Linked DNA regions of Lonchura striata. The protein of the gene in region 3 binds, or shares a complex with, the protein of the main gene of each other region. Links are inferred from orthologs where the notes say so. Each region holds a gene or a part of one and is shown on either strand. Other genes may lie near its edges.

Evidence for each region.
Region 1: the proteins of PDZK1 (region 3) and SLC15A2 are in contact, whole or in part, in a crystal structure (PDB 6EZI), measured with the Homo sapiens proteins. The link is inferred for Lonchura striata from reciprocal best matches to the Homo sapiens genes PDZK1 and SLC15A2. Residues at the interface, in NP_001188254.1 of Homo sapiens: Asn386, Gly387, Tyr388, Gly389, Phe390, His391, Leu392, Asn393, Ala394, Ile395, Arg396, Gln407, Tyr436, Glu437, Val440, Ile443, Gln444; in NP_066568.3 of Homo sapiens: Glu723, Thr724, Lys725, Lys726, Thr727, Lys728, Leu729.
Region 2: the proteins of PDZK1 (region 3) and AKAP10 are in contact, whole or in part, in a crystal structure (PDB 3TMH), measured with the Homo sapiens proteins. The link is inferred for Lonchura striata from reciprocal best matches to the Homo sapiens genes PDZK1 and AKAP10. Residues at the interface, in NP_001188254.1 of Homo sapiens: Asn386, Gly387, Tyr388, Gly389, Phe390, His391, Leu392, Asn393, Ala394, Ile395, Arg396, Phe402, Lys404, Tyr436, Glu437, Val440, Ile443, Gln444; in NP_009133.2 of Homo sapiens: Pro655, Leu656, Glu657, Lys658, Ser659, Thr660, Lys661, Leu662.

Annotation. Positions count from the first base shown.
Region 1 is NC_134610.1:11,474,017-11,484,298, reverse strand, and holds the start of SLC15A2 (solute carrier family 15 member 2), read left to right. Parts: upstream 1-6,316; 5' UTR 6,317-6,590; coding exon 6,591-6,722; intron 6,723-9,985; coding exon 9,986-10,073; intron 10,074-10,282. UniProt on the Homo sapiens protein: Proton-coupled amino-acid transporter that transports oligopeptides of 2 to 4 amino acids with a preference for dipeptides. Transports neutral and anionic dipeptides with a proton to peptide stoichiometry of 2:1 or 3:1.
Region 2 is NC_134622.1:8,536,881-8,547,712, reverse strand, and holds the start of AKAP10 (A-kinase anchor protein 10, mitochondrial), read right to left. Parts: upstream 6,023-10,832; coding exon 5,860-6,022; intron 5,828-5,859; exon of another isoform or gene 2,584-5,827; coding exon of another isoform or gene 2,532-2,583; coding exon 2,484-2,531; intron 432-2,483; coding exon 249-431; intron 1-248. UniProt on the Homo sapiens protein: Differentially targeted protein that binds to type I and II regulatory subunits of protein kinase A and anchors them to the mitochondria or the plasma membrane.
Region 3 is NC_134604.1:14,073,134-14,083,891, forward strand, and holds the start of PDZK1 (Na(+)/H(+) exchange regulatory cofactor NHE-RF3), read left to right. Parts: upstream 1-6,711; 5' UTR 6,712-6,766; intron 6,767-8,522; 5' UTR 8,523-8,524; coding exon 8,525-8,734; intron 8,735-9,027; coding exon 9,028-9,268; intron 9,269-10,260; coding exon 10,261-10,397; intron 10,398-10,758. UniProt on the Homo sapiens protein: A scaffold protein that connects plasma membrane proteins and regulatory components, regulating their surface expression in epithelial cells apical domains.

The DNA.
Region 1 (10,282 bases), on a different chromosome or scaffold from region 3:
ATCACAAGTCTTATTCTGGAACCAACTTCCATTGTTTTTTCAGTGGTTTTGTGATACTCTTAACTTGAGAGCCTAGAAAGTAATTTAAATTCATGGTTGTATTTTGTTTGTGCTGAGTTTTCTTCATTTCCTGCCTCAGCTCTCTTATGTCCTGTGTTTTGCTTGAACATTCCCTTCAATGAAGAGAAAAATCCTAATTTTTCCTTGCTATGATAGTCTCTTAAATAATTGTTCAGAAATAAAAGTCCTTCCTCATGTGTTCCTCGTCTCTCCCTTCTCCAATCTTCTAATATAAGTCACAAGCATTACCAAATGAAGCCTTTTATTTTTCCCAACAACTGTTCTCCCTCCAGCTTTTCTTCTCTGTTGCATTGTCTGGCCTGTAGTGCTCATATGTCTTTTCTGCTTGTTTTTCACAGTGCTTGCCCAGAGTCTCACCCTGCTGGCTTTGCCATGCTGTGCTTTGTACTTATCTATGCTGTATCTTCTTATAATATGAATAACACTCCCTGGATCCTGGCCATACTTTCTACATTATAGATTTAAATTCTTCTTACCATCTATCTTTTCTTTAATATCTCTTCTGTGCACAGCCTGCTCTTTTTTAGCCATTATTAAAGTTTTGCTTCAATCCTCCTTTTGCAAGCCCCTCACAATTTGCCATCATCTTTTTATGAGTTGTTCATGCTGTTCTTCATCTTTTACTTCAGGCTTTGCATCCCTTGTTGATCTATCAAATGAATCATCATATGTAGGAATTTATTCCTCATTTCATTTTGCAGTTTGTGATCAGCTTAGGCTTCTCACTATTGCACATTGTAGGTATTGTTGTATGCTTCTTTTCACTCTTAAATTCAGGTGTCTCTCAGTGTTTCATTAGTGCACCTTTCTAGTCCTCCTGCCCAGTTCCACTGCTCATCCTATGTCCAGCTAATGGCAGAGTTCATCAGGAACTGACTGCCTGTTTGTATCCGTGACTTTATCATGAGGTGATGATGATAGATATGGGGCCTTCAAGCAGAGGGACTTGAGTGCAATAAAAAGCTGAAGGATGCGTATGGCTTCAGGGCCATAATACTGGGAGATGGAGACCCCATTTAGTCTACTGCTGAATTCATTCTAAACTATTTCTATGTCTGCAGAAAATATTTGGGGTTTTCCCCTGTGGAAGAGTTTCCCTGAAACCTCTCTGAAAGAAAATCACAGCAGTTTTCAGGAGGTTATGGGGGAAAGCAGAAAGGAGTGGAAGTGCAGTAGAAAAATTATTGATTTTGCTTCAGGCAGCTCATGGCTTGAAGGTGAAAAAGAGTCTGAAAGAGGGAACATCTTGTCAGTGTTATATCTGCTTTCCTGTGTGATATGTGAAGAACTGGGGACTGAAGCCAGTCTGTCAAAGGTTGGTGAAACTCTGTGTTTTCTCAAAACTGTAATCTTCTCACTAGGCGCCTCATCCCTGGAAACATTCACAATCAGGTTTGACAGGGCTCTGAGCAACCTGATCTAGTTGAAGATGTCCCTGCAGAGGTGCTGGAATGGATGGACTTTGAATGTCCCCTCCAGCCCTAACTGTTCTGTGATTCTATGATAGTGAACGACATGTATAGTTAAGACCGACTCTGTAGTTGGTGTACAGTATAAAAAATTTGGATTTATGGCCAGCTGTAGATCCTGTCTAGACACAGAGCCAGTCCTTATCCTCAATCAGAAGTAGTAATTTTATTGAAAGATAGTGTAGCTGTAGTGCAAAATGACTGATCATGAACATCCATGAAAGGTGCCATGCAGCCTCAGAGGCTGTATTCAAGAAAGGCAGATTCCCTATGACATTTGAGAGCTGAGCAGAGATGATTTTGGATCAGAAATAAATGGAAGTTTAACTATTTTAGTGGTGGCCAAAGGACTGCTGTTGAGAAGTGAAACATTAACAGCAGAGTGAAAGACAGCCGGGATTGCTTAACGAGGTTCATCTTCAGGCACAACGGAGCTGGGGGCGTCCAAATCACGGAATGGCAGAGGGGGACTGCACACCAAAGCCTGCAAAGGAAGCCCAAGCTGGTGAGGAAGTTTTTAAAGATTTCTTCTTGCTGATAGTAGGAGAAACTGAAGGCAAAAAGGCACAAGGAGGGATGAGAAGTTTCTCTGATTGTTACAGGTTGACTTGTGACCAGATGACAGGCTCTTAAATGCAAATTAGGTACTTGATATTGTTAGTGGTATTGATCTAAATACCTTTACAATTTTAAGTCCGTAATGGCTGGGGAATAGAGGAGAGATGTGGGTTTGAAGGCTTCTGGCATGTTTTCCTGGTTGTTCAAATGATTCGATACATAATTTTCTTAAATTACTTTGAAGTTTGGGAGAAGTCTGCAGGCAATGGAAACCACTCTTGATCTGTATAAATCAGTTAAACCCTGATCTTTCTTGTGATCAAAGAATTGGAGAAAATAAGCCAGAAGAGACCTCCAGAGGTTATCATGTCCTTTCAGGGTCTGGTCATTAAGCCCAAAGTGTTGCTGCCACACATTCATCTAGTTTCTTAAAACTTTATCTCAGAAACAGAGAAAGAGGAGAGAAATACATATATGGTAAAAGGCTATAAACGTATGGCAGGTGGATATGAATTAAAAATAAGACTCATTATACAAGTGCGGCTAAGCTGAAAATTAGGAAGGGGTTGTACCAAGAGATGAATGGAGGTAAAAATGAAGAGATCAGTTGAGTATACACAGATTAATGTGGACAGTATTGCAGCAGGGAGTGGTGAGAATGTGAAGATTGTAAAAGCAATATGAAAATGCAGATTCTCTTTCTGAGGATTTGGGAACCAGAAAAAAAAAATTATGAACTGAAAGTCATAGAAAAATGTATTAATGGAAACTTCTGGCTATGCAAGGCATCTGGTAGCTGAATGTAACATGCACGCATGAATCATCCTACAGACTCCCCAGTTGCATAAGGGATAATTCAAAAAAGAGGAAATCTTACAGAAAGCAATCCTTGCTTTCATGTTTACCAGGTGAAGTTGTTTGGCACAAGATTTTCACAGAAACTCAGGAGGGCATCTCATCTATATGCCTGCTGTGGGACAGGACCTGATATTTATGTAGTCCCTAACGCGTTCTTATGTAACAGACATCATGGGTTGTCTGAACCCTGCAGGCCGAACCACACCATCTCTATTCCAATGCTCATCTGTCCTCACTGACAGGGAAATTGGAAAAAGGAGCCACAAATAGTCTTTGCTGAAAAAAGTCAGTGATTTCTCTCATCTTATCCTCAACAAAAATGGATTATAGTTCATCTCTCTGGCTGTTTTTCCTGTCAATGGAAAGGAGTGCCATTTGGTATTCTTCTTTCTCGATTTTCATCGGTTTTATTCCAGAGTCATAAAATAGTTTCTCCCATTTTGCAACACCATTTTGAGTTCATACCCCGTTGTCTCCCAGGCTTCTTTACCCTAGTTTTGAGTACAAATGAACACCATGCTGACTGTACTGAAGTTTTCTTTGATAATGGAAAAGCTAAGGACCTGCATGTTTCATGCTTTCCTAATGTGATGGAAAATCATTGATACTCTTACAGAGATTTCCCAGTTGTCCACTATTATGAGCATTTCATATGGACCCTATTTCCTTGTGAGAGATCAGAGGCACTGGAGTTAGGATATATCACATACAGAGCTGCTCTAGCTGTTACTCCACTTACCAAAGAATAAAACAGTCTGGTTTGAGAGCACATTTTCCAATCTGAAATAGCTGTTTTGTAATCCATATTCTCCTTTTGGTGCTTAGAAGGGATTATCTGATCAAGTATCTCTCTTGCTATGGAGGAACACTCCTGGAGGAACAATCTGCTTTTTTAAAGGCAGTGATGATGCTTGTTCTGCTTTTTCCCTTCACAAGGGAAGTGGCTCAATGTGGTATTCAGCACTTGAAGGTGAATTTCATCAGGCTCTGGTGATCTGAGCACATTTGAGATATCCAAATATTATTTAAGCAGTTTTTGTCTCATTTCACACATACTCCTGCTGGTTAATTTAAAAGGTGTTGCATACCTTTGTTGCAATTTATTTTTTTAGTAAAAAATAACAAAAAGGACACACGTTTCCTGGCTTCTCTGGATGATTGTTTTCTGGTTTAAATAACAGATTTTCCTTTTCCTTCCTCTTTCTCCAATATTGACAGCATTTCTATCACCTCTTTTTATTGCCTTTTATGTCCCCTTGCTAGCTGTAGTTTATTTTGTGCCTTAGCTTTGCAGGCACACTTCTACCTCTTCATGTTTGATCTGTTTGTCTATACCTGTCTTCAGAAATGCCATCTTATTTCCATTTGTAGTACAATTCCTTCCTGATTTTCAGTCCAGTCACACAGGTCTCCTTCTATCAAGTATCATTCTGTATCTGTATCTAAATTTGTGCTTGCAAATTTATTCTCTTAAACTTGTTTTTGCTGTTTGCTACAAGTTACCATTTATTGCCAGACATTTGAATTCCTTTTCTTCCTTTCTGTCTGAGAAGACCTTCTGGCAGATAGTGGCCTAAACAGCTCTGCAGTGCATTAGACAAGTAGTATGTTAATCCTACTGACTGACAGGGTTTTTCATGCTAGTATTTAAAAAAAATAATAATTTAGCTTATGTGACACACAGGGTTGTATATACACAGAGGAAATACAGCTGCAGGAGGCTAATAATATTAAGGCATCACACTGCAGCAGCATGGGAGCATGTGCAAGGGATGGTGAAACCTTTCCTGTCTTCCTTTTTTATTATTCCTTTAGTAATTCTGCTGCTGTGTTTGCTCTGCTTGCCTGTGTATGACAGAATACAGCAGATTTCTACTGGGAGCCGTATAGAAATACCTGGGGCATGAGATGCCAGCAGAGGGCTTAGAAATATTTTTGCTGCCTCTAGCAGGGGGTGAAGACTTGCAGGACTGGAGTAGGTGCTAACCTGGTGTGGAGGGGCAGGATCCATGTGAACAAGACCTGTTCTGCCCCCAGCTCTGGGTCTGCTTTTGAGCACTCATGCCCATGAAAAGGCTTTGATAAACCTGAGCTCCCTAGAGGCTGCACCCAGGTGAAAAGCAAGGCTGTGCATGTGTGCAGGTCACTGGGAGGGCTGAAGACAAGGAGCTGGTTTGTGGCAGTACCAGATGAGGTACCAAACTCTTGTTTTACCACTGCTGTAGAGGATAAAAGGAACAAAGAAGGGGTAGAACTTTCTGGCACCATCTAAAGTTTGGCCTCCAAGTCAGCTGACCCCGTGTTTAGCTGCCCAGTTAGTAGGAGTGAAATGGGGTCTCTGGGGATTTTCAGAGGAAGCAATGCCAGAGTACATGATGGATAGTAATTATACTTCCTTTGTGCAGTCCATCACAAGTGTTCTCCATGTCTTGTTAGCAATAACTGAAGCCAGATTAAGGATCTGTAGTGTGGCCAAAGGCCTCTTTCCTGGTTCATCAGCTGCAAACCTGGTTCTTGTGATAACCAAGCACTATCAGCAACTCGATACTTGCACTAAGGATGAGTTTATGCAGACTCCTTGTACCAGCTGTGGATTCTGGGTGTGGTCTGTGCATTACTGATAAGAGAAGGGAGAAATATTTGAGAAAATTCTTTGAACATTTGCCTTTTAAAGAAGCCAAGTGTAAGAGGAAGAAAAAAACCTCTGCACTGCACTGAGGATACAGCAGAGCCACAAGCACTGAGGATAGTTTATGGGAAGGTTGTGAGTTTTGCTCTGCAATTGCAACTGTCACTGGAAGAATGCAGATGACAAGCTCCACTATTGCCATGGGAAGGGCATGGAAGGAGGGACCACAGTGTACCTGCAGGGAGCTGAGCACATGTAGCTGCAGGGGGAATCTAGGGACTCCCAGCAGAGATGGGCTGCATATGTCACATATGGAGCGCCAAAGTGGTCTTCTGGAAAATAGAAAGGAGAGAGAGGTGTTGGGGCTACTTCTGGGTGCTGGCTGTGCACACTTGATTAAACTGTCCCATGGGAAAAGGCAAGGTCATTCTAGGGAACTGATGTGGGAATGAACCCTGGGTCACTTCACTCCTGTAGTAGCAAAGAAATGATTTATCACAGTGCAGGCATCTGTGACATCCAGCGTCCAAGGGTTTGGTGTGATGAACATTTTAGTAGTTATGTCTTGGAATGTGTGGCTTTCCAGTGAAATAAGATCCCTGCAGAGTAAACCTGTCATTACCACACTGGGAGGGAAATGCATGCTCTGCTCTAAATCCACAGGCTGTAGGTGTATCTGGGACCTGGGATATTTATTCAGCTCACATCTGTGCAGCATCCAGCACCATGCTGGGCTGGTGCACGTAAAATAGCTGGGGGTATGCCAAACAACAGGGAGGACTGTGCCACAAAGTGCTGACAGCCTCAACCTGTGACTGATTTAGGCTGTGTTCCCTGATTCCTCTTGAACTCTGGAATTATCTTTCCTGGTAGCATCTCCCTCCCCTTTCTGCCCTGGCTGCACAAATGTGCTCAATTAGGGTTAACTCAAACTGAATCAAACTTCGTGCCTGAGGTTGGAAATCTTCCCAGTCAACTCACCACAGCCACATAGCATGGTGGGAGACAAGGCGAGAGGGGAGATGAACGCTTTTCAGAGAAACGAATCCAAGGAAACTTTGTTCACTTTTATTTCTGCAGGAGATGATCCCCCCAGAGGAGATTTCCCTCTTCAGAAAAAATCTCCGGTAAGTGTTATTGCTGGTTTGCTTTGCTTTGCTTTGCTTTCTGCTCAGCTTGTTTTAAACATTGCAAGATCCCTGTGTTCTCTCCTCTGTTGTGCTCTGGCTAGAGACAAACACCCTTTCTTGCAGAGGGCTGAAATAAGCCTTAACAACTCAAGGCAAAAATCCTTCCACTAACCTGATTAAGTTAACAAAGTGCAGCTTAAAGGGAGAACACAAACTAACTGAATGTTTGGGGAAAAGGGTAAGGGATTTATTGCCTTTTTCTGAAAACTACTTTCCTTGTGAGGAAAAACTTAGATCTCTGAAGTGGATGGGGCTGTTGTGCATAGGAGTGAGGGAGTTGAACTCTCTTCAGTTTGATGAAACCCACCAGGGAAGGGTACCCAGATGATGAAAAGCAGAAGGAAGGACAGGGATTGAGGACAGGCCACTGGTGAGTGTTGGAGAGCCCAATTGTGGTGTCAGAGCCTTAGGTTTACATCTTTGCCTCTGATTTATAGCCTTATTCAGGTGAATGTGTTGCTGCTGTGCAGCTTTGATGTTTGTGCCAGTTTTCAGACTAATTCTTTTTGAGTGCTTGACCCCTAAAAACTGTTCAATGCATAGGATTCAGGAAGAATTTGGCTTATGTTGTAGCTGCTTTGACTTGCAGGATAATATGTAATACTTAGTCTTAAAAGTCACAGTCATGCTGTTAGCAAACCAATTATTTAACTCAATTTTAATTACTGTGCAGACATTAACTATTGGATATCCAGAACTCCTGGGAAATATTAATCTTTATCCTGTTTTGCCATTAGTTAGCAAGAAGGAGAGCTGAAAACAAACGTCTCCTGTAGTGGGTACTTTAAATGAACTTTCTTTTTTTCAAAGAAACAGTCTGTCAACTTCCACAGTATCTTTAAGAGATCCATAATCCCACAGATCCCAGGTTTGCTGTGGTAGCTAAGCACTGCAGACTATCTGTGTGTTCATGAATCCAGGCTTAACCTCTTTGCTTTTGCTGGGGCTGTCTGCTGAGCACGGTCCTCCTCCACAAAAGCAAGCAAACTGCATCTGGCTGTCTGCATGGATGAAAGCTTCCCCCTTTTGGATGTCCAGGCAGGCCACAGGCAGGTCAGTGGTACTGTGGAGAGAATACATGAGGGTTTGTGCACGTGCTGATGCCATCTCATGACACACAAGCCAGATGGAAGTACCCCTGCTTGTAAGTCCTTGCTCTGTGTTTGTAAGCACTTGCTCAGGCACTTGGGGAGGTTTAGCTGGGAAGTCACTGCCCCCTGCTCTCCTTTCCCTCCTTGCCCCTGCTTGTCTGTAGGAAGTGCCCATTCCAGAGCAGGAATGGCTGAAATGAATCACTGCACCTTAAACTCGTGCAAATAAATCCACTGGAACTTGTGCACTGGGTGTGGAGGGGTGAGTTCAGGCAGCAGCACTCCTGACACCTGTCCACCTGGTTTGGACAGTCACTCTGTGCACCTTATTAAATGCCATGAGTATGTATAGTAAGGTCTGGGAAGAAGAGGAAGAAAAAAATCCCTGTTGTACAATTTTACTTCCAATTTCATAAAACACCTCCCAGCGCAAACATGAAACATAATCTGCCTCTTATGGATTTTCTTCCATTATGAAAAACTTGTTGGAGAAAAATATTCTGTGTGTGCATATGGTTGTGTGTTTGTGCATTTACAGCTTATATATGCCACTTTTTTTAGGCTATTCTAAAAGCAGGAGGCCCAGTGCAGTTTCCAAGGGAGCAAACTCTTACAAGCCATATTGCTGAGCACAATGGTTTCAGAGTAAATCATAAATGAAATGGATAATTATGTATTTACTCTAGTAAAGCAAAAAGATTAAGGGTTTCTTATAAAAAGGCAACCCTTTGATAAGAAAAAAAAAATATATGATATATATAAAAATGGACAAAAATACTTGTCTTTAGAGGATTAAGTAATGGAAAGTAGAGGGGAGGTGGGAGTTGTGGAGTTTTGATTTTCTGTTTGTTTTTTTACTCTTCCATAATGTTGAGGAAGACAGCATCATTAAGCTATACTTTTCTAGACTTGATGCCATTGCATTGGGAATCCAAATAAGCTTAGGTCTCTTGGTGGTAAAATAAACCTGAATAAACACATCTATTTTGGTACTGTATTTGCATTTGGGACTCTGGGAAGAAATACAGGAATTCATTCTTTCTGACATGAAGCACAGAAATGCATATGAAGAGATCATCTCACTGGCCCATACCATGGCTGTTTAAATCTATAAGTATAGTTGTATCTGTTAATATCACACTTCCTCCAGATTCCTTGCCAAATCCATGGCCAGCCCCTCTCCTACTAATTGGCAGAGGCTGGGCAGTGCTGTGCAAACCTGCTTTCCTGTTGTGAGGCAGTGGAGCCACTAAGCAGCTGGAATTTGAAAGCTGCTTAGCTCAGACCACGGTGGGGTAGCAAGAGGGACAGAGGCCCCCACAGGGTCATGCCAAGACTCATCTGTTTAATGCCTTGTATTTCACTTGGGAAGTGCTGATGTTAGCTGCAGTAAAGCCAGGCTCAGAGAAAGAGTGGCCACACTTAGACAGGCTTGACAGTCCCATCACTGGCTTTATTCAAAAATTCTGATTAATAAATTGAATTAACCATAGCTGTGCCAGCAATCTTGGAATATGAAATGGACGCCATGCCTGAGGGAGTGCCAGACAGAGAGCTGATGCTCTGCTTCAGTGAGTGGTGGCACAGCTCAGCACAAGTGAGGAGCAGAGATTGAGAGAGGTAGCAGCTTTATATACAGAAGCAGACAGCAGATCCCTGGGGTCTCCCTGTTTCTGAGGCAAAGTCTGGTACTAGAAGAGGGAGCAGTTTTGGGGCAGGGTGGTAGCTTTATATAAAGTACAGAAGAAAAGGCATCCAAAAGTGTTCTTTTGGTCTCAGTGATGTTTTAGCATTGCAATCAAGAGTTGGTAGCACCCTTCCAGTGGAGTTCCTGGAGCTACAAGCATGGTGGGCTGCTGATTGCCCACGAATCCCCATGGCAGTCCTTACTGGGCTCATGTCAGCCAGGCTGATTCACTGGGGAGCCTTAATCAATGCAAGACTACTGTGAGGTCCACTCTCTTTTTTGAGTCCAGCTCACAGGCCAGTCAAGCAGCTGTGGGCACTTGATTTTTGGACTGGACTCCTCTCCACCACCCAGACACTGTGAGAATATGTTTCTGGGATGAAGGCTTTGACAGTTGATACATTCTTGTTTGTCTTCCACAGAAACTGTGTGGCTCCAACTACCCCCTGAGCATTGCCTTCATTGTGGTAAACGAGTTCTGTGAGCGCTTCTCCTACTATGGCATGCGAGGTATGTGGCCTGTGACTTTCCTGTCCTGAGGTCTTTACACAAACTGCATTGGTGTTTCTGAGCAGTGCTGTGTGTAGTATCAGCTATATTTCAAAGTTAATTGATATTTTGGAATGCACATATGAACAGTGTAGCCTAACTTTGTTGCTATATCTAAGATGAGAAGAAGTTGGGACTAGAGGGCTCCAAATGTACCTTCCAGTCTAAAT
Region 2 (10,832 bases), on a different chromosome or scaffold from region 3:
AGTGAGTCCGTATTGTACCACAGATGTGGGGGTTGGACACAAAAGTGTCCTGGAATGCAACTGGGAAGAGGCAATTCCGACACAATGACAAAGTAAAGCAATTGTGTTTCCTCTTCAAATCCCTCCCAGGGTAACACAGATGCTACTGTAACAGCAGCTATGCTTTTATAACCAATTTCTTTACTTGAAAACCAAGGGATGGTGCGTGCACCAGGAATACACAGAATAAAAAGAGAAGCTGACATTACCTAAGTCTCCAAAGTGAGCAGCTTCCATGTGACTCGGCTGCTTCTTGAGGGCAGCTGTGCGGCTGCTGGAGAAGGAGTCCATGTTGGCAGAGATGGCATTGATGGCCACATGGCTTGGTCCTGCAGCCTCCAGCAAGGCATGATTCCTAGTGCTTCTCTGAGGGGAATGTACTGGGATTGGAGCTGCAACCAAGACAGGAATGGTTAAAGCACAAGGACCCCAAGACCTCTTCTAAACATTGCCCAGTGCTAAGCACCCCAATATACACCAGGGAGTTTGCAAGAGGCAGTCTCATTAACACCTCACTGTACCCTGGGTGTCATCTTTGATCAAGGGTCTGTTTAAAGACCACAAGTTTTATTATTGCAAGAATAAAGTCACTCCCACCCACCTCTATTTTCCTTATTCAGCAGCAATTCAAGAGATGCCACGTCTAAGTTTACACATGAAATGAGTCTTCCTGCTTCCTTGATAACTACTGTAACAACTTTATACTCTGTCAACAGTTTAGTTTCGTTCCAATGCTCCTGCCAATCCATTTCCATGCATTTTTGAAAGCTAAAATGTGATAAAAAAATCCTGAACCACAAAGCTATCTGTGAGGTCTAATAGGAGTTATTTCTCAAAAATATTTTTGTTGCTTCTGTTTGGTTGCTAGAGAAAAAAAAAAAGCAATAAGGAAATACCTGTGATGAAACAAAGGTTATAAACTTAACCCCCTCTGGCTGTTTTAGGACACAAGTGGCCCAAAAAGAACAAACAAGAACTTCCTCACACAAAACTGAGCTAATTGTTAATTGATGACAAAGCTGAAAAAAACCCCAAACATGCTCACAGCAGATTCCAAAGCTCTCAGGAAGCTGTGTTAGATCAGGATGTCATGCAGGGACATCTTACACCTCTGACTCAAAAATAAAGTACATCAGGCGAGCTGATTATCTCAACACTTCCAGAGATGTGTTCCATCACGGTGTCAGGCAACTTGGGCTTCATGACTTCCATGCTGCATCACTTTATTTGTATTCCCAATTTTATGACAGCAGTTGACAATTTCACACTTAGATGTCACAGATACCTCAGGAGCAATGGAAACATTTAAATTACTGCCAAGTGTTTGTGCAGCTGCAGGATTGGACACCAAGACACCACTTGCTGCTTCTTACAAAGCCTCTGGGTGTTTCATACCAGCAGTAATGGAGAAAATACCTTTTTTTCAAGGCCAAGGGATGGCAGCAGTGGGAAAATTTGGTGGAGATCACTTGTGTAGAGCCAGAGCCACACTCCTCATAATGCTACAGGCTTTTGTCAATTAGATTTAAATTTAATTTTATATTTTGGACATTTGAGAAAAAAATGTTCTGCTCTCTCCAAGGGTCAAACAAAGGTGCTCTCTGCTGCAGCGGCTCACAACATGCAATACTATAAATTTTCAAGTTTATTTTTATTTTCAGGGTCACCATACTGATAGTTGCACTGAAAGGTGAGGTGTGGCTATGAAATGGATGTAACTCACTGTTTCCTGCATTTGATTTGAAAGACAGACCACCAAGAAAAACACCTGCAATCTTCTCCTGATGTGCAGATAACACATTACCCAGTACAGAAACAAGATTTTGTCTGAGGGTATGAAAGTAACAGATCAGATTCTGGCATTTCCCTCATCTCCTTTCAGTACTGCAAGAAAATCTGACAGGATCAGCAAACTTGTTTTCCTGCAGTTTATAAATCTCTTCTCCACCACGATCTTTTCTCCTTTCCTATGAGATTTAGCAGCAAGATTTCTGCACCCCACAGAGCAGCAAGGAATGGCTCATCCAGGATTTGGATCTTCAGCCTCACAAGGCCCATCCAAGTTAAATCTGCAGCTTCTTCTGCAAATCAGACACAGTGAGGCTGCACTTTCCAAACTCCAAAGGACACTGCAGCTGAGCAAGAAACTCCAGGAGCAGTTTGCTGTGGATGGGAACAACCACCACGTGCAAGGTGACCGGAGTGCCTGATGGCTTTGAATTAAAGCTCACGCCTGACATAGCTTAACAACCTCCTGCACCTACAGATTCAGCAAGAGGAGGAGGAAAGATGAGTTACCATAAATACCCAGAAACAGAATTAAATTCTGGGTTTGACGCACAGGTCAGATCTGTGCTCAGGAGTAAAGAATGATCCTGTTGGGTAAGATAGAAATGGTAAATGATGGCAGAGATCTGAATTTACAGACGAAAGTTTGATCTTACTTTTAATTGCTTTCACATCTGTGGTCTTTTCTTGTTCTTTGCCTTTCACTGTAAAAATACAAGGGAATATGTTAATGCTATTTTGGGTCAATAATGGCATTTACCTGAGAATGGACATAGAATTCCCAACATCAGCAAGTATCACAGGCAGATAGAAACTCTAATTTTCTTAATACCCATTTCTCGTTTAAATTGCACATCCAGTAACTGACAGAGGCTTTCAAAGCTTTTCTGTTGACTTACTTTCAAAAGCAAAACCCATCCATTAATTAAGTTTCATGAAATACAGTCTGTTACATTTCTGTGGAGGAAGATGTTTGCTGTCAGTAGATTAAAGCTACATTCAGGGTGACTTTAACAAACAGCATGAACTGGGAAGTAGGGAAGAACTGGGAAGTAGGGAAGATGTGTTTTAAGTGTAGAGCACTGGCAGGTGCTGTCTGTGAACCAAAAATCACCTGAAAACAACATTTCCCTTGTGTTACAGGAAGAGCAGCACAACACCCAACACTGAGGAGATGTGGGCTGGCTCTGGCTCCATGGAGCTGCTTCCATGCCATGATGGGTACCACAGAAATGCTCTGGAAACTCCCTGCAGACAGTTAATTCTCTTACAAATGGTCTTGCTTAATCATCATGAAAGCCCGGGTGAGCAACTGATGGGGAGATAACAGTGCAAAAAGTTATGATGGAAAAGTGCTTTGAGGATTTATTTTTTAAAAAATATTAGTATTTTTTAAAGGAAGCTCCTAAAGGAATTGAAGAAGGAGATCTATTCAAAACAAAAATAAAGAAGCCCAAGCAGCACACAAACAGGATGGCAGAGAAACAAATGCAGGGGGGATACTGGAGAATGTGATCTACCAGGGAGGCTGCTCCAGGCAAGGATTATTACTACAAATAGGTCATTCCTGAACACCCACTGAGGAGCCCTTCCTCAGTGCACAGCCCAGCACAATCCCACATTTACATCACAAAACACATCCAAAACACCACCCCAAGCGAAGCCTTCCTATCCCCACCTAAGGATGTTAAATATTTTACAGGAGAGCTCCGGTTACATAACTGCCCTGGCCCGGTGGCTGCAGCGCTGCCTGCCAGCCTCCCCGGCGAGCACAAACGCTGCAGGGCTGCAAATCTGCAACTCGGGGTCGAAAATTGCAGCTGCCAGGGAGCTCACTGTGTGACAGAGGGGTTGAAGTGTGCATTACAAGAGGAGGATTCCCTCCACGCTGACCTGCAGCCTGATGCAGCACGAGGGAAACCAGCCTTTACATAACTGGAGAGAAACCAGAGGGAAGCAAGCAACCTCTATGAACTCTCATCCTTCCCAAATCACTCCAGTATTTCATCAAACCGGTTCCTAGCTATCAGCAGCAAGTCCTGGGTTTCACACAACAGCCCTCCATAAGCCTATTTTCAGTTTAAATACCTCTGTTCCTTCTTTCCTCCCTAAATACCTACTTACTACTGGAAATACAAACTCCAGGGTCGTGTCCCAACCCTTTCCACACAGGCTGCTCCTGTCCCCAGCAGCTCTGAGCACGACCAGGTGCCATCAGTAACAGGAGGGGACAAAATCAGCTCTGATCCAGGACAAGCCCGAATTTCAGAGAGTGAAGTTGCACCACATGAACTCACTTTCACTTCCCCCAAAAAGCGGATGCTGTGCGGTGCCTGTGTGAAACCAGAAGGAACCACAGAATGGGGACTGAGGGAGAGATTTCCAGTGGCCAATCCCCTTCCAAAGGGTGCCAAAGCAGCACATGACATTCCAGAGTTGCAATTCACATCCTGAAATGCTCTCAACAAACTCAAAAAGTGTTCACAGTGTGTCAACAGCACACAGAAAACAACGAGATCCTGCTGAGGTCAGCCAGGCTGTGGGACTGCACGTTATTCCCAAGATATCCCAGGGATGAGCTGGTCCACTGGCAGCAGTTTCATAACTGCCCTCAAGCGCCCAGCTCACCTGTTATATTTTGATTTCTCAACCCATTATCCACCCTCAGTCTGCCAGACCTTTATTTTGAGGCCCAAGCTATAAAAACACTTCACCCTGATATTTGATTTTTCTACAAGCTTTATGATTCTTGCTATGGTTTAATTTAAAATTAGTCTTAATTTCTACCCACTGCAATATCCTCTTAAACAACCACAGCTCACCCCAGGAACATTGGTGTTTGTAGGATTTTGGCCTGCACGTGGCCAGAGTTTTATCCTAAGCCTAAATGTGCTGCTTCCCTCACAGCTTCAGTTCAAATCTTGTCTAAAAGCCACACCTAAAAACGGAATCACACCAAGCAGTGTTTTATGCACAGCCCAGATGAAAGGTTGCTTTTCTCCTCTCCTTCACAGCGTCTCTGCATTTAGTGCTGATTTGCCTTTCTGACCAAAGATCCTTTAATCAAAGGAATACAGATCCTCAATTACACTTCTCAGATAATCAGAGCTTTCATGGCTTTCTCCCTGAGAAGGTTTCCACACAAGCTGACCTTGTCCCTGTGATCCCGCGTCAGGAGGGAACCTCAGCTCCACAATTCTCAATGAAGCAGCAGGAGCTCTTTTTGAAGAGTTTATAACCACTATCAAAGTTTTATTCTGCAGCCCAGTATTTGTATATAAACACCCCAAAAAGGATTGCAAAGCCCTCAATGGCTTCTACTCTTCAGATCTGCTACGTTTAGACTCATTTCTCGCACAACTGCTGCACTAACCTCCCCAGAGTGACATTTTCAGTGCTGCTGCTTTGGCTGAGTGAGATCCAGAGGATGTGAGAGCCAAGAGCATCACCATCACCCCAGGTACCACGTCCTTGCCTCCCAGCATGTGCATTTTGGGTTCAGAAACACAGAAAGACTTTAGGACAGCGCTGCATCAGAAGATCAGTGCTCGAGCTACAGCACCACGAGGAAACAGAACTGTCCCAAGGGGCCCTTCCTAAAAGGTGCCACTTGCAACAAAAACCACCCAAACCACAGCTGGGCGGCTTGAGAGCTCTGGCCCTGCCTGCAGCACGGGCACAAAGCGCCTTCAAAACGCAGAGAACACTTAAACTGCTCCCATTCGTGCTGCTGGGGCGTTACAAATATTTCAGCAGCCCTGAATTTCCCAGCTCCTACTGCAGAACGAACTGCCGAGCACTCCTTGGGCTCAGCGCGACGAGGTCCCTTTTCCACCGACACCTTCAGCTCCTGCTGTACATTCTCAGCCCATTCTCACTGTCACAAAGCCGGCCGTGCCAGCCCTGTGCAAAACGCATCTGCAAAGGGCTCCGAGCGCGGGAGGTGCCACAGCCGCTGGCGGAGCCGCGGGCAGCCGGGGCCGCGGCCGCTCACCGGAGAGCCCCGAGCCCCCCGAGGACGCAGGCACTGACCGTCATCGGCGGGGAGGCCGCTCCTCAGGGCCCGCGCGTCCTCGCGGGGCCCGGTGGCGATGCCCGGCGGGGCAGGGCCGGGGCCCGGCGGCCGCGCAGGGGACGAGCCCGGCGGCCGCCCGCCCGCCGCCGCTGCCCTACCTTTCCGCCTGAAGAAGGACATAGCGCCGGGGAGGGGGGCGAGGCGGCGGCGGGGCGGGGGGAGGCGGGAGGGGGGGAAGGCAGCGCGCCGGGCCCTATGAATGAGGCAGCCGCGCCCGCCCGCCGCCGCCGCTCCCTCCGCCTCTTCCTCCCGCGGCGGCGCCCGCGGCCGCCATGTTGTCAACACCGGCCCCGCGCCCGCTTCCGGCAGCGCCGCCCGCGCGGCACGGCGGGATGCGGCCGCACTCAACATGGCGGCCCCGGCTTCACACCCACCGCACAACGGGGGCCGGGCGGGGCCGCCATGTTGGGTGAGGGCAAGAAGCCCGCTGGGGTCCAGGGCGGCGGGGCGGCCATCTTTGATCGGGGCGGGGGGCGCCGGGCGGCGTGAGGCGCCAGCCGCCATCTTGGCTGAGGGCACGGGTGACCCGGGGACGCTGCGGCAGCTCGGGCGCGGCCCGCGGGCAGGGACAGAGAGCCCGAGGACAAGGGACACAGAGCCCGAGGACAGGGACAGAGATCCCGAGGGCAGGGACAGAGCCCGAGGGCAAGGACAGAGAGCCCGAGGGCAAGGGACAGAGAGCCCGAGGGTAGAGGGACAGAGCCCGAGGGCAAGGACAGAGAGCCCGAGGGCAGGGACAGAGAGCCCGAGGGCAAGGGACAGAGCCCGAGGGCAAGGGACAGAGAGCCCGAGGGCAGGGACAGAGAGCCCGAGGGCAGGGACAGAGAGCCCGAGGGTAGAGGGACAGAGAGCCCGAGGGCAAGGACAGAGAGCCCGAGGGCAAGGGACAGAGAGCCCGAGGGCAAGGGACAGAGAGCCCGAGGGCAAGGGACAGAGAGCCCGAGGGCAGGGACAGAGCCCGAGGGCAAGGACAGAGAGTCCGAGGGCAGGGACAGAGAGTCTGAGGGCAGGGACAGAGAGCCCGAGGGCAAGGACAGAGAGCCCGAGGGCAGGGACAGAGAGCCCGAGGGCAAGGGATAGAGAGCCCGAGGGTAGAGGGACAGAGAGCCCGAGGGCAAGGGACAGAGAGCCCGAGGGTAGAGGGACAGAGAGCCCGAGGGCAAGGACAGAGAGCCCGAGGGCAGGGACAGAGAGCCCGAGGGCAAGGGATAGAGAGCCCGAGGGTAGAGGGACAGAGAGTCCGAGGGCAGGGACAGAGAGCCCGAGGGCAAGGACAGAGATCCCGAGGGCAGGGACAGAGAGTCCGAGGGCAGGGACAGAGAGCCCGAGGGTAGAGGGACAGAGCCCGAGGGTGGAGGGACAGAGAGCCCGAGGGCAGGGACAGAGCCCTCAAAGCCCTCAAGGCAGAGACAGAGCCCTCAAGGCAGGCACAGAGCGCTCAAGGCAGGGACAGCGGGCGAGCTCCGTGCAGGGCCGTGAGGGCCGAGGCCCTGCAGAGAGCCCTCAGCGCCGTGTCCCACAGTGTCCCCGTCACTGTCGGACGGACACACGGACACACGGACACACGGCCAGTGCCGGTGCCTGTCCCTCAGCCATGGGCCGGGGTGCGGCGGCTCCTTCGGCCCAGCCCGGGCCCGGCAGATCCAGAAATGCCCAGGGCTGCTCGCCCCGGGATCACTGCCCGATAAGTCAGCTCCGTCTGCCTCCCGAACCCTGCACTAAAATCCTCTTCATCATCCTCCCCAGGCAAATCTGCTCCTCCCGCACCTACCAGGGACGTTTGTCACCGTGACACGGCGCTCAGGTTGATATCCCAGCAGATCTCTGCTCCGAAAGCTTTACAAACACTTTGTCAAGACTGTGATTAAAAATTCTGGTTTGTGCGTGAGGAAACAGGCACGGAGCCAGAGGGTAGCTCTGCCATCCCCGTGTCACCCCTTGCCATGGAACTGTCCTGCCCGTGCTGCCCGAGCCGTGCCAAAATGATGTAATTAATAATCATTGCCTGAGTTTCTGCACCGTCTTGCATCCAAGTGTTCCAAAGCTCTTTACAAACACTCAGTAATTAAGACTCATAAATGGGAAATGAAATAAAAGGTGCACGGGGATCTTCCAGGGCTGGGATGGAGCTGTCTCCTGGGCGGGATGGTACCACTGATCAACACCCTGTAGCAATTGCATTTTCTCTTTTGATATTATTTTTGTTAACTGGTGCTCTTTGATACGGTTTTGTACACATGCCCAGAGGCTGGCTGAAGCATAATGAACTAATTCTATATGGTTTCTGAATAATGAATGGAATTATTTAATTGGCACATAACCTCAGAGACTGCTAATAGACTAAAACATTCTGAAGATGAGCAAATTGGAAAGAATGGGATGACTCAGAGAACACTAAATTAATAGTCTGCCAAAAATGTTGCACCCAATCCTCTTGGGTTTCAGGATATATACATGGGGGTTGAACAAGGGTGCAGTGATTTACACAAGAGTTTGACATGAATTTCCTTCCCTGGATCGAAATTTTCTCTCTTTAAGGAATTCAGAAGGGCTGAAGCTCCAATCCAGAGCTGCTCACTCAGCCTTGGACCTGGATCTGAACTGGAAGTGTGAGTGACAGCAGGTGCTGGAGTCTTTAACAGAACGTGACAGTTTAATAATCTGAGCAATCAGTTAAATATCACTTCAGGACATGGGTTGGCCAACGTCAGAGAAGCTGAAGGACTCCTCCCTAAATGAAAATATTCAAATAAAAAAAACCAAAACAAAACAAAAAAAAAAAAACACAAAACTGTCTCACTGCTTGATTTTTTTCCCCCTCTCCACAGCTACAAAAAGAAGTAAACTTTAGTATTTGAAAAGATCTGAATGGAATGATCATGTTTGGACAGATATAATAAAGCAGAACAAGACTTTGTTGCCTTGGATAATTAATCACGGGGCACTGCTCTGCTCAGTTACAGCACAAACCCACAAATGTAACACGTTAGAGGCCATTCCCATTTCTCCCATCTTTGGCATACTCCATTTATTCCCATGATGTTGGGATTCTCTCTCATATATAAAATTCTCACTACTTTGGGAATACAAATACCAAAAATTATATGAGTAAGGACTTTAACAGCTGAGATCTTGCTCTGGAATAAATAATAATATCCTAAACACATCAGGAACCAAAGATGTCTTTGCACAGAAACTCACGGCACCTTCAATTAGAGACTTGTGTTTTACTCCTATTTTTTTTTCTTAATGGGAAAACAAGTGTCTGCATGCCCACACAAAATTCCTGGCAAGCCTGGCTGTGGCTGACCTCAGTCCATGAACCTCATGGGAACGGGAGCGTTGGTACCTGTGCTGAGCATTTCAAAGAAGGGAATTCTCCCACGTCCCAGCCTGGCGAAAATTAACTGCTTTTATTAAAACACTGCAATTCCTCCCTGTTCCCTTCCACGGGGCACATTCCCAGGGAGGGAGCCTTGTTCAAGCAAGGGGTGAAGAGTCTCTGCCTGACTCCCAGTGGGTGAGTTAAAACTCGAGGTTTGAAGTGTAAAATGGGGGCAAAAAGGTACAAGAAAAGGTTCAGTCCCAGCGGGAAGAGCCGTGTTGGTGACCTGCTGCTGCAGATGTGCTGGGCAGAGCTCCGGGAGCAGCACTGAGCAGCAGAAAGCAGAAAATTCCCCTCTCCAGGTCCTGAGCTCTTCCCAGCTCCTGCAGGAGCGGAGCCTTCTCTGCAGGGCTGGGAGCCACTCTGGGATTATTCTGAATTTGGGAAGGCAAACGGGCTCGTTGGCTCCTCCACCCTGCCCAGATGGCGTCGCCAGCGCTGTGTGGGACTCACCTCAGATGACCTTTCTGCAATCCACAGTGTTTCCCCCAAATTCTTGGCCATTCTATGGCGTCATAAATACTTGAAAAATAATAATTAAGTTTAACACCGTCTTCTGTTTCTCCGTTATTTTTCCCCCCACCTTTTGCTTATCTAAATGCCTGAAGGAGTACAAGAAGCGATGCAGCACATGACAGCACTCGGGTATTTCTTCAAACCAGGGATATGGGAGGAAAAACAAGGCTGAGTGTGATTTTGTCCCTTCAGAGCTTTCCTGAGCTCACAGGACGAGCACCGTCCGCGGCATTTCTAGAAGCAGGACGCAGCCAGGGCCGCACGGAGCCGCGGCGTTACCGGGGGCTCTGCCGGGGGTCGGCGGTAGGAGCGGATGATGCGGCGGCGCTGCCGCAGCACTCCGGGCGCGCACCAGGAGAGGGTGCCAAGCCCCCGGCTTGTGCTGCCGGGATCCGCACGGGCTTCCCAGCACTCGGAGCCCTCTCCAAGCGCTGAGCTTAAAACACCAACCAACGCGCCCTGGATCTAAAGGAAAATATATATATATATTTTTTTTTTTTTTAAACCAAAAGCTGCCCAAATGTCATTACCTGTTTCAGCGCTACCGGCAGTAAGCGCCAGAAACTCGCCCGAGGACAGTAGCGCAGGATAAAGACATTTTTTGCTACATTTTAAAAAGGATCTGATTTTTCATGCGGCTGATGGACGTGGGACCGCTCGGGGGAACAGCTGAGCTCCTGGAGACCGAGAAAACCCGTAAGATCTGCGAGACACATACATAAAACATCAATCCGTGCTGCACGGGCACCGTAAGGTTCAGCAGGAAAAAAACCTGATCCATGAAGTTTTTAGGATGACTGTTCTAAAAATCCATCTGCACTGGGAGGCGCAGCTTTTACACCTCAAGTGAACGCAGGCTCCCGGGCAGCCGCTCTGCCTCCAACACCTTGGAGAAACCTGCGGGATTAGAGGATAACACCTGAGCCCGAGCCGGCGCACCCCCACTCCGAGACCTCCCTGCCACGGGGGTTTCAATCCCCCGCGCGGTGCCACCCGCGGAATTCCCGCAGCCGCGTTCCGCACGCGTGT
Region 3 (10,758 bases):
GTGGTTTAAGTTTAGGAAATCATTAAAGAACTCTTCTGGGAATCTATCATGTGCACAGAAAAATGAAAACCAAGAGATAACAGTGTAACTGCCCCCTGCAAGGCAAAAAAAAAAAAAAAAAAAAAAAAAAGAAAAAAAAACCAACAAAAAAAACCACCACAAGAAAACCCAAACGAGAAAAAATAATTTTAAAAAACATCATAAAATAACATAAATATCTATGGATAATGGGACCTTTTGTTTTTCTTTCTCTGGTCTTTACTTCTTGAAAGGGCATGTTCCACTCACTGCAGCTCTCAATCCAGTTCATTTCAGGATCATTTAGGATCACTTTTTTAGACCCAGCCAGGATGACCAGGGTGATTTTCAAGGCAGGCAGTAAGATAAGATGTAGGTGGGTATTTTCTAGAATGTTTGTGTCATATTCCAGTTAAATCAGTGCACAAGTTCTGCTGTAACTAAAACCAGTTTTACTTTTACAATCAAACCAACCTTAGTTCCAGGTATGCATTTTATTAAGATTTATCCTGTCCTTAGTACTTAGGCATGGTTTCCTGGTAGAGTCTGTTGCTTATTTGGAAGGAATTTTAAAATAATAAATAGAAGCTCATACAAATTCTACCGGCTTTTACACTATATTAAAATAATTTAATTTTATACTATTTTTTATTTATTAATCTCGAGTTCAAATAGGGTCTAGATTTATATCCCTCCCAAAGCTTATAATAATGGTTTTCAATAGTTACCCAGGAAAAGGGCTGCATTCTGCATTTCTGCAGTGCCAAACATAGCAGAAGCCATTTCCTTTTTGTGATAACAGATAACAAGCCTTTCAAAGCCACAAAGTGACAAGAACTAATAAAGACCAGGCATTATCCACCCTCACGTTTCTATTAAAAGTTCTATAAGCATCACAAAAGCCTCATCAGAGCAGAACACAATAGTTCTCCCAACACAAAAGCCAATATACAGCAACCAAGAAGATGGAAACCTACAGGAAGTTTGTATTTCTCTTTGCCTTTAAGGCTACATTCAGATTTTTTCCATTATGTTCACTGATCTCAGATAGAAAGGTAAATGAATGCTAGTCCAATTTAAATCCTTCTTGCTGCAAGAATGAATGCACCCAATGAGAAATTTGAAGTTAGGTCCTAATTAGCTGAGACTAAAGCACCCAAGCATTCCAAACATCAGTTCAGCCTCATCTTAGGGTAATGAAATTTCAGGATAGAGTCTTTACTAGCGAAGTGAAATTAAACACTGACTACTACAGACAGGTTAATGCAGAAATTGGGGGCATTTCCTTGAAGGATTACAGACTTGCAGGGTGGAGTGGGACGAGATGGGACACAGGGAGCAGGAAGAGGAATGGAAGAAGGGAAGAGGAGAAGAAATCGATGCCTTAGGCCTGGATAATTAGTGTCTCACTGAGCTGTATTTCTGGAGGAAGAGGATGTGCTCTCTCTGGTGATTGTATAAGCACCTTCTTGTCATACTCCTTGAGGAAAATACTAAATTAGACATAGTGGTTATTATTTATACATTTCAAAAGCTTAAAAGAGAAGGAACACAGTCTACTATCAAATTCAGAAATCTGTCTCCAAAGGGCAAGAAATGCACATGCAACAGAAAGGCAAATAACTTACCATTCTCATTCACAGGTCAAATTAAAAAAAAAAAAAACAAAACATAAGGATACATAGTGTAGTAATAAGAAAAATCCATGAGCTGGATGGAAAAGCCAGACTTGTAAATGTATGACATTATTTTTTATGTCTCATCATCATGCATGTCCAAAGAGTACCAAATGATACAGCAAATGAAAGGCAAAACTGAAGAAATACACATCCAGAAAATGAAAATGTCCAATGGGATGAGCTGGAATGAAAAGTCTTCTCAAGTTACCAGGGCCGGAGGTAGGAGAATTCCAAAGGCATTTCCATACAAGCAGCATTAATCACCCCAACATCAGGTCCAGTTACCCAGGCAGGGCTGCACACAGCCTGAGTGCTGTGCATGCACATAAATATATCCACCTGTGTACTGCCATTTACTACAACAAATCCACCAAAAAACTCCACTCAGCTTGCATAAGTCCTCCTTTTTAAGACCTTTGAATTTTTGCTGCAACAGAAATTTCCAGGTTTTTAACACTGATTTCAGTCTGACATGCAAAGAAGGAGCTCATAGTTAACTCAGTAGTAAATTCTGCACCTTAAAACCCAAATTCATAATCAATACAGAACATTCTAGAGAAGAAAGCATTGTTCAGAGTTTATATTCTCCAGTAAAAAGGCCAGTAGGGAAGACAATTCAATATTTAAAGCACAAAAGACCAAAGCCTGGGGCAAGAGGACTGCCACTGTAGTTCCTTGCTGACAGGTCCAGGGCATAGAGAATCTCTTTGCTGCAAACACAGGGACAGCAAATTAATTTTTTCCCCTCTCCTACTTTTTAGGAAGATATCAAGCCCAAAATGCTCGAAGGTGGGGTATTCCCCCCTTCCTCTAGGATGCTGCAAACCAGTAGGATTGCAACATTTGCTTCCCCTCCTTTTTTTTCTCTGAGTATCTTTACCATGTCAGAAGAATGTGGTCACTAGAAGAGAGAGAATTAATTACCACTTGTCTTTTTACAGGATGACTCATGAGTATTCATTTGGTAGCTCAAATGGACTTTGCTTCATGATTACAGAGAACTTCAGTGAACCAAATATTTCTATTACCAAATCACACGGTGCTTTATAAAACAATTGCCAAACAAAAGTGGAAAAAACATAATTGGCAAAAAAATGGGCAAAGGGAAAGGGCTGCAGTGATTTTCAAAGGCTTAAAGACAGAAACAAAGTATGCTTCCAAATATTTAACCATGAATTTTCATTGACTGCTGTGTTATGAATCCAAGAAAAATAGAGCACTGCACAGAGAGAAGTGAGCCTGTGGTCAGCAAGTCTAGAGTAAGCAATAGGTGAACAAACACTATTTAGAAACCCTCATCATATCCATTTTTAAGGGAGGTACATGCTCCCAGGTAAGAAAGTGAGTCACCATAACAAAGAAGGAACATTTTTACACCAAAATAACCACATAAACCTTTTGTCAATAGAACAATACTGGCAGTGTTACACAGCATTTGAGAACAACTTTATTTTCAGGACCAAACATATGAAGTATATTAATTTCATTTTAGGGCTAGACACAATGTAATATTGTGTTAATAACAAAAGGCACCTTTTAGTCAACTGAACTTTGTAAATTTACACTCATAATAAAGATATAGTTCACCTGTGAATTTACTAAAGTCAGAGATCCCAGCAAGTACCAAAATTAAGAACAAAGGTGCTTTCCTCCATTCACCCAACACACTGAGAAAACAATGTGAACACTTACAACTACTAGAAAATGCTTATTTCTGACCATTTTTGCTAATACAGACGAGTTACAGAATTTCTTCTAACTAAACATCAGGAAAGCTTTGGCAAAAAAGAATTAGAGAAAATATTTTGTAAATGTTATCCCACAGGATAACACCATGACACTAGAAACAAAGGTTCGTGTATCACTACAACCAGGATACAGTTGGAAAGAAACATAATTTGGAGAAAGCTGACGCCCTAAGGTCTAGTCCCTGTGCCAATAGAACCACACCACCTAAGTCACTGTTGCCAAACCCTGCAATATAGGAATATTGTAAATTAAGAGGGTTTTTTTTTTCAGATTTTACCACTTGTCACAGTGTTAAAAAGATATCTTCTTTCTCTTTTTTTTTTTTTTAATTATGATCCTCTTTTTTGTAGCTGTATGAATATGCTTGAGAAGAAAAGGAGACATTACAAGCTGCCTTTACTCTGAGCAATTCTCAAATAATTTTCATTCTTCTGATGGAAGGATAGGAAATTTTTTGAATTTCTGAGCTTCATTAACATTTTACATTTGTGTAGCACCTTTTTCTTGGAAAAAAATCCTGTCAGGACCCAAAATTACCTCACCTGACTATGGCAGTGGCACTACAATTAAAAAATAAAACTTGGATCAGGTGCTGTTTCCTTGTGTGCTGGCCTGAGATGCTTGTAGAGTTCCCATCTTGGCTGATGAGGCACTCTGATGTCTCCATCACCCAGAATGACTCGTGTGAAAGGTTGCAAGCAGAGGACAGGGCAGGTTTGACTTGTCTGGTTCCTACAACACCGGGGCTCACTTACTTCACTTCATGGGTTTGAAGTTGTACCAAAAGGAGCAACTCCAAACCACAACAGCTTGCAAATCCACTTAGGGTAAGTGGATTACAGTAAGGCTTTTACAACACCAATGACTGTCATGTTGCAGCACATTTGGGTTATGATCTCTTCTATTACCTTCCCTTGGAATTAGACAGTCGCAGCAGACAGCTGGGGAAAACACAGGTATTACTTCTAATAATCCAATTCCACAGCAAGTCAACGAGAGAAATAAGTAGATTTAAAGCTTTTTAAAATTGAATTAGATTTTTTAACAAGAAGTTCACACGGTCAGTTTATTAATTACCTTGGTATCTCAAATTTAGAGGCTTCCACCTCTAAACATTAGAAACAACCCTCAGGTCAGTCCAAGTCCGTAAGTATATCCTGCACATGCTCATGGATCATGGGTAAGCTATGCCCTTTGACAGCTGACCCCAGCCAGCAGCCAAACACCCACCCTGACTCCCTCTCACTCCTCTCCTGCTGAATGGGGACAAAATAAAAAAAAGGCTAGACTTATGCATTGAGATAAGGATAAAGCTATTCTTATCTCAATGGAATGGAATGGAATGGAATGGAATGGAAAGGAAAGGAAAGGAAAGGAAAGGAAAGGAAAGGAAAGGAAAGGAAAGGAAAGGAAAGGAAAGGAAAGGAAAGGAAAGGAAAGGAAAGGAAAGGAAAGGAAAGGAAAGGAAAGCTAAGGAAAGGAAAGGAAAGGAAAGGAAAGGAAAGGAAAGGAAAGGAAAGGAAAGGAAAGGAAAATGGGAATTCATTCCCTGGTTCCCATCAGCAGGCAGATCTCTAGCTACCTTTGTGGGAAGCCACACTTCAACAGGCACAACAGCTGCTTGGGGAGACCACCACAACCACAAAGAGCTGTCCTTCCTCCTCCTTTTACCAAGCTTTTAATGCTGAGCACAACATCAAATGGTATGGAACATGGAATATCCCTTTGAACAGTTCAGGTCAGCTATCACCACTCTGTCCCCTCCCTGTAGTCCAGGAGGAGTGAAGGGGAGAAAAGCCACAAGAAGAAGAAAACAGTGTTTCTCAGCAGCCAAAAAAGTGGTGTGGTATCAACACTGTCTCAGCCACAGATGCAAAGCACAGCAGCATGAAGGCTGCCAGGGGAGAGTTAACTCCACCCCAGCCAGAACAGTACAGTTCCAACTCCTCATTCCACACCATTCATGTCATGTGTGATCTGAGATATCAAAGTATCCTCTGTGCCACTCATACATTGCTTCATTTCTATGCCCTACTCAAACCTTTTCATTCCATCTATTTATCCTTCATGAAATTGCTTCTTACCAACATTTACAACTTATACTACGTACCTAAACCATTGTTACATCCAACAGTCAGGTTTACACATCCTCTATAACCACTATACCTTGTCTCTTGACATATATGCAGATAGTATTCCCCCATTCCACGCCCTCCCTCCCCCAAATTTCCATAAGAACAGTCAATTGCTTTGGCCCTATCTGTCAAGGGGATCACTCAGGACAGCACCACGTTGGATTGTTAAGCAACAAGACCACTTGGGGTGGGTGAGCACTGCACTCACATGGTTCCTGGTGAGGCTCATTCTCTGTTGGTTCAGATGATTCCTGCTGTATTCCTTCCTATATCACACAACTCAAATAATGGATTCTTTTCTGCCAGGGGTAAATCTCCTTGAGGTAGACAGCAGATTTCCACTTTCTCCTGCACCAAGTGCACCTGGGTTCCTGAGCAAAGACAATCCCACAAACGCACTTGCCTTTTCCCAAGGCAGAGAAACCCACACAGCCTCTCCCAGTGCACCTACAGTGTAGCCAGTTTGCCATGCCTCACCATATTGATATCACAAGCACCTCCCTCCACCTGCTCCAGGGAGATTGTACCTACACAGGTCACTTGATTGCAGTACATGTTTCACATGTGTTAAGGCCTCAACAGTCAGGGTCCACCCCTCAAATCACAAACCCTTTTTTTTTCCAATGCATCTCTCCCAGGCATGGTCCCTATCTTGAATTCTTCAAGTTTTTCCATCCTGTTTTCTCCCCATGTCCCCATGTAGAGGAAAGTGGCTCAGTGGGCATCTGGCTGCTGGTCAAGGTTAACCTGGCACAGCCTTTTATTTTTCCATCCAACAATGGGCATGCAAATTTTAACCAGTAACTTCCTAACCTGCAAGCAAATGCTGCTGGCCCAGGTCAATCCAGCAGCACCTAAACCTGCTCACTTTAAGACATTTCTCAGAGCAGAAGACTTTAGCCCAGACAAAGGTCAGGCTTGCCTCAGATGACCTCCTTGAGTGAGTTTTTGAGTATAATATCAGTAGGACAAAATGCAAAGCTAATGAGAAATGCACGTGATTAGCACTTCTGCCCCCAAGGACAAGATAGCCTATCAAAGTATCACACATTCAGTGAAACTTAGTTAAATAAATAATCTTTTAAATCAACCTTTACCCAATCAAAGTCCAGTCTTACTTATACGTACAGCTCAGGAGGAACGGCAAAAGACAACTCCAGTCAAGGCTGCTCTACATTGATACAGGTAAGAAGTTCATTTTTTCCTAACCCCTTTTCCCTTTGGAAAGTTATTTTTGCAAGACAAATGATTTTGCATGGATCAAAAGGTGTTGTATGCAGTGCACTGTAACCTTCTCTCCACTTCTAAATATGAAGAAATAATTTTCTCTCATAGAAGCCTACTGTTTCTCCAGCTCTGTGTAGTACTGGTTTTGCATCTTAATTTATGAATTATCACAGATTCCCAGTGTTTGTCGAGAAAAGCTACTTTGAATGGTACTTGCAATTGATACAGTCTGATGTGTTCTAAACCATGTTTAAATAGCAGGGAAGTTCATCCCAATATTAGCTAATGTCAGTGTAATACACAGAGACTCAAAAATACTCAAAGCACTGGTCCATGGACTACAAGTGAATCATGCTCTGCAGGATGCATATCCTTGCAAACTGAAATTCCTGTATTCTCCAGCTCCAGTGACATCTGTGCCAAACTCACCCCACACATCCATGCTGTTCTATGTGCTGCCCAAGTAACATCAGCAGTGCAGCAAAGAGTCTGCACCGTGGGTAGCTACAGCAGTGGTTCTGCACTAAGCTGCTCTCACAGAAGGATTTGACTGCCAGCAGATCTAAAGAACTGACTTCTGTCAGTAAAGGGACGGGAAAAAAAAGTCTTTCCAGTAAAATAGTAACCAAGGTTGCTAATTATCTGGATTTTTACAACTGGAGGAATTTGTCTTCATTTGTCTCGTTCCCCCATCTTCATGGATCTTCAGCAGGACAATGTTTTGAGAGATGTTCTCTGGCCCCACCTGTTATTTACTTTCTATACATGGTATTCCTGCATGACGAACTTCACCCAAACCACAGTTTCTTCACATCCCAGAGCATTTTAGGTAGGGACTTTTAGAGGTGGCCTGGTGCAATGTCCCATAGAAAACAGAGTCAGCTTAGATCAGGTTACTCAGGGCCCAATCCAGGTATCTCCAAGGACAGAGATTTCACAGCCTCTCTGGACACTTCTAGTCATACCTGACTGGCCCCAAGAGGAAAAGCTGTTCTTATGAATGTCTGGTTGGAATTTCCCTTGCTGTGCTGCAGCCTGTCTGTTCCCTCTCATCCTCCCACTGTTTATTTCCAAGAAGAGTCTGGCTGTGTTCTCCACACAATCCAGTTAGGCAGTGGGACGATATCAAGAAGATCTTGCCTTTAATTTCTCTTCCCAAGACTGAACAAATCCAGCTCTCTCAGCCTCCTTAAATAAGTGTTTCAGAACCAAAATTCCCTCTGTGAACTAGCTCAAATATGGTAATTACTTGGGGAGATCAAAACTGGGGATAGTATTCACATGTGGTCCCCCAAGTGTCAAAGGGAGGGGAACAATCCCTTCACTCCATTCTCTTTTCCCAAAACTTCATTTCCTTTGTAAGACTTAATCCTGGTATTACACCCTTTCTACAATCCTTACTATGTTTTCAGGCAGGCTTTCCTTATTTCAGTTCTGCATTTTGCTTAACTTCATGTGAGATATAGAGAGAAAAAAAGCAAGGAGGGTCAGAGATTCTTCTTGCTAGTCTTGTTAACTAAACTCAGCTTTGCACAGCTGTTTTTTTTGGGGCCAAAAAAATCCAAACCAACCAACCAAAAAAAAAAAAAAAAAAAACCTAAAAAACACCCCAAGAATTCTGAAGCAAACCCTCTTGATATGCAATTAGGGAGAATACACCCCAGGTAAGCTTCCTGTTCATACTCACAGGTGTTTTCTCCATCCTGTCTGGTAGAGATGACTCCTGCTCTGCAGCCCCGAGAGTGCACAGTGAGCAAGAAGCCCCAGAAGAAATACGGCTTCTTCCTACGGATCGAGCAGGACACGGCGGGGCACATCGTGCGGAACGTGGAACGCAACAGCCCGGCCGAGAGGGCTGGCCTGCAGGATGGAGACAGAGTGCTCAGGGTCAACGGTGTCTTCGTGGACAAGGAGGAACATGCACAGGTACAAATCTGTTCAGGCTGGGATCCACACCATGCCCCAGGCCCACAGCTGCTGTGTGAAGCTTTTTCTTCCAGTTTTTATGGCTAGGAAACCCAGGAGCAGAGTCAACTGCTCTGAGTATCCCCCTGTATCGTTCATTACCCACCATGGGCATGGAATGTCTTTGGGATGCCTCCCTAGTGCATGAGCAGGGGGTGAGACAACAGAAGCAGTAGACAGTGCAGCTTTTCCTGGGTAAAGCTTTTAGCTCCATCACTCCAGTGCCTGCTTCCATTTCCCCTTGTCCATTACAGGTGGTGGAGATGGTCAGAAACAGCGGGAATTCCGTTGTGCTCCTTGTTCTGGATGACGCATCCTATGAAAAGGCACAAAAGGAGGGAGTGAACTTGGAAGAGCTGGGTCAAAAAGCATCCACAGGACAGCAGCAGGAGCAGCAGTGCCCACCATCCATGGCCACTGCAGCTCCACAGCCCCGGCTCTGCTACCTGGTGAAGGAGGAGACAGGCTACGGCTTCTCCCTGAAAAGCATAGAAGGTGAGAGCCTGGAGAGAAGAAACTGGAGATAAAATATAAATATGTATATATTTGGCTGCAGGGACAGAGGCAACCACAGTTAATATGTGGGGGCTAGTGCGGAGACACAAACTGTTCTTTCTAACAGAAAGAAAGTGAGGAGTAGCACGATGAGTTCAGATTTATCTCCAGAACACTTCTGTACAGCATATGCAGCACAAGGTTTCCTGAGGACCATGCTTCTCATGGGGTGGAAAACAGATTAAAAAAAAAAAAAAAGAGAGAGAGAAAAATAATAAGCTATTTTCTGCTTGTTATTTAAGCCCACTTAACAAAACCAAACTAGATACACACTCAATGTGCTATGTTAAGTCCTGTTCCATTCCTCAAAATCACCTCAGGAATCAGCACATGAGATTCTAGACAGCTGTAAGAAATACTTTCCCTGATTTGTAAGTTAATTTATCTAGAAAGAAAAGGATTTTGAACCTTTTCCATATATGCCTTTTTTTCCAAGGCCAGTCAACGGAAGAGGGAGGTCTTCTGGAAAGCACCACCTCTAAAGAGCCCTCTAAAGGCTATTTTGGAATCCAATATAATTGAGAGACCAAACATAGAAGGCTTCCAAACACAGGAAGTTATGAAACGCATAATACAACAGTAAAAGCAGCTTCTCTCTTCAAAATAATGGGGGAAGTGGAGGATGGGAGGGAGCAGGATGCAAATCCCTTTCAACTATGTTAATCAGCCCTTTTTCACCCCTAGTAGGGAAAGAAAAACCATTTTGAGCTGCAGATAGTGAACGAATATCTCCCTCTACCACTGAAGGGATTTTTCCAGGCCAGAGTAAGAGACAGAGGAGTGTCTGTGTGGAAGGTTTGTGGTGCTCCTGTAATATGTGTGCAAGCAGAGACCAAGAATCTCCGAGGACATCAGTGCTGAGTTTCCTTAACCACTATATTCAGGCCTATTGCAGTGACTTGCCCTGTGTAATGAGTTTTCATTTATTTTAGGACAGAAGGGGTTGTTCATAGTAGAGCTTTCATCACAAGGAGCAGCTGCAAAGGCTGGTGTCCAAAATAACGATCGCCTGATTGAAATCAATGGGAAAAATGTGGAAAATGACACCCATGAGGAAGTGGTGGAAAAGGTATTGATTTATCTTCTGTTCTGGCCTACTTTTACAGCAACCTATCAGGGTTACTGAGGAGGCCAGGCTGGCTGATTTAAGCACTTCACAGTAAATCTTGGGAGCTGCTGTTCATGCACCACCAGCACACCAGTGTAGCCCTCTGTGCTGGCTGTGTTATCAAGCGGCCTCTTGAACTGCCTCTCAATGAACATGGCCATCAAGACAGGCCAAAGAACTTTAAATAACACAAGTATACTGCTGCCAGGAACCCTATTAAATCAATTCATTTGAATTCATTTGAACAGAAGTCCTGGAAATGCTGCTAATGGCAGGAGGGCAAGTCATCCAATGTAGTTTCCAGGGCAGGAAGAGGGAAGCC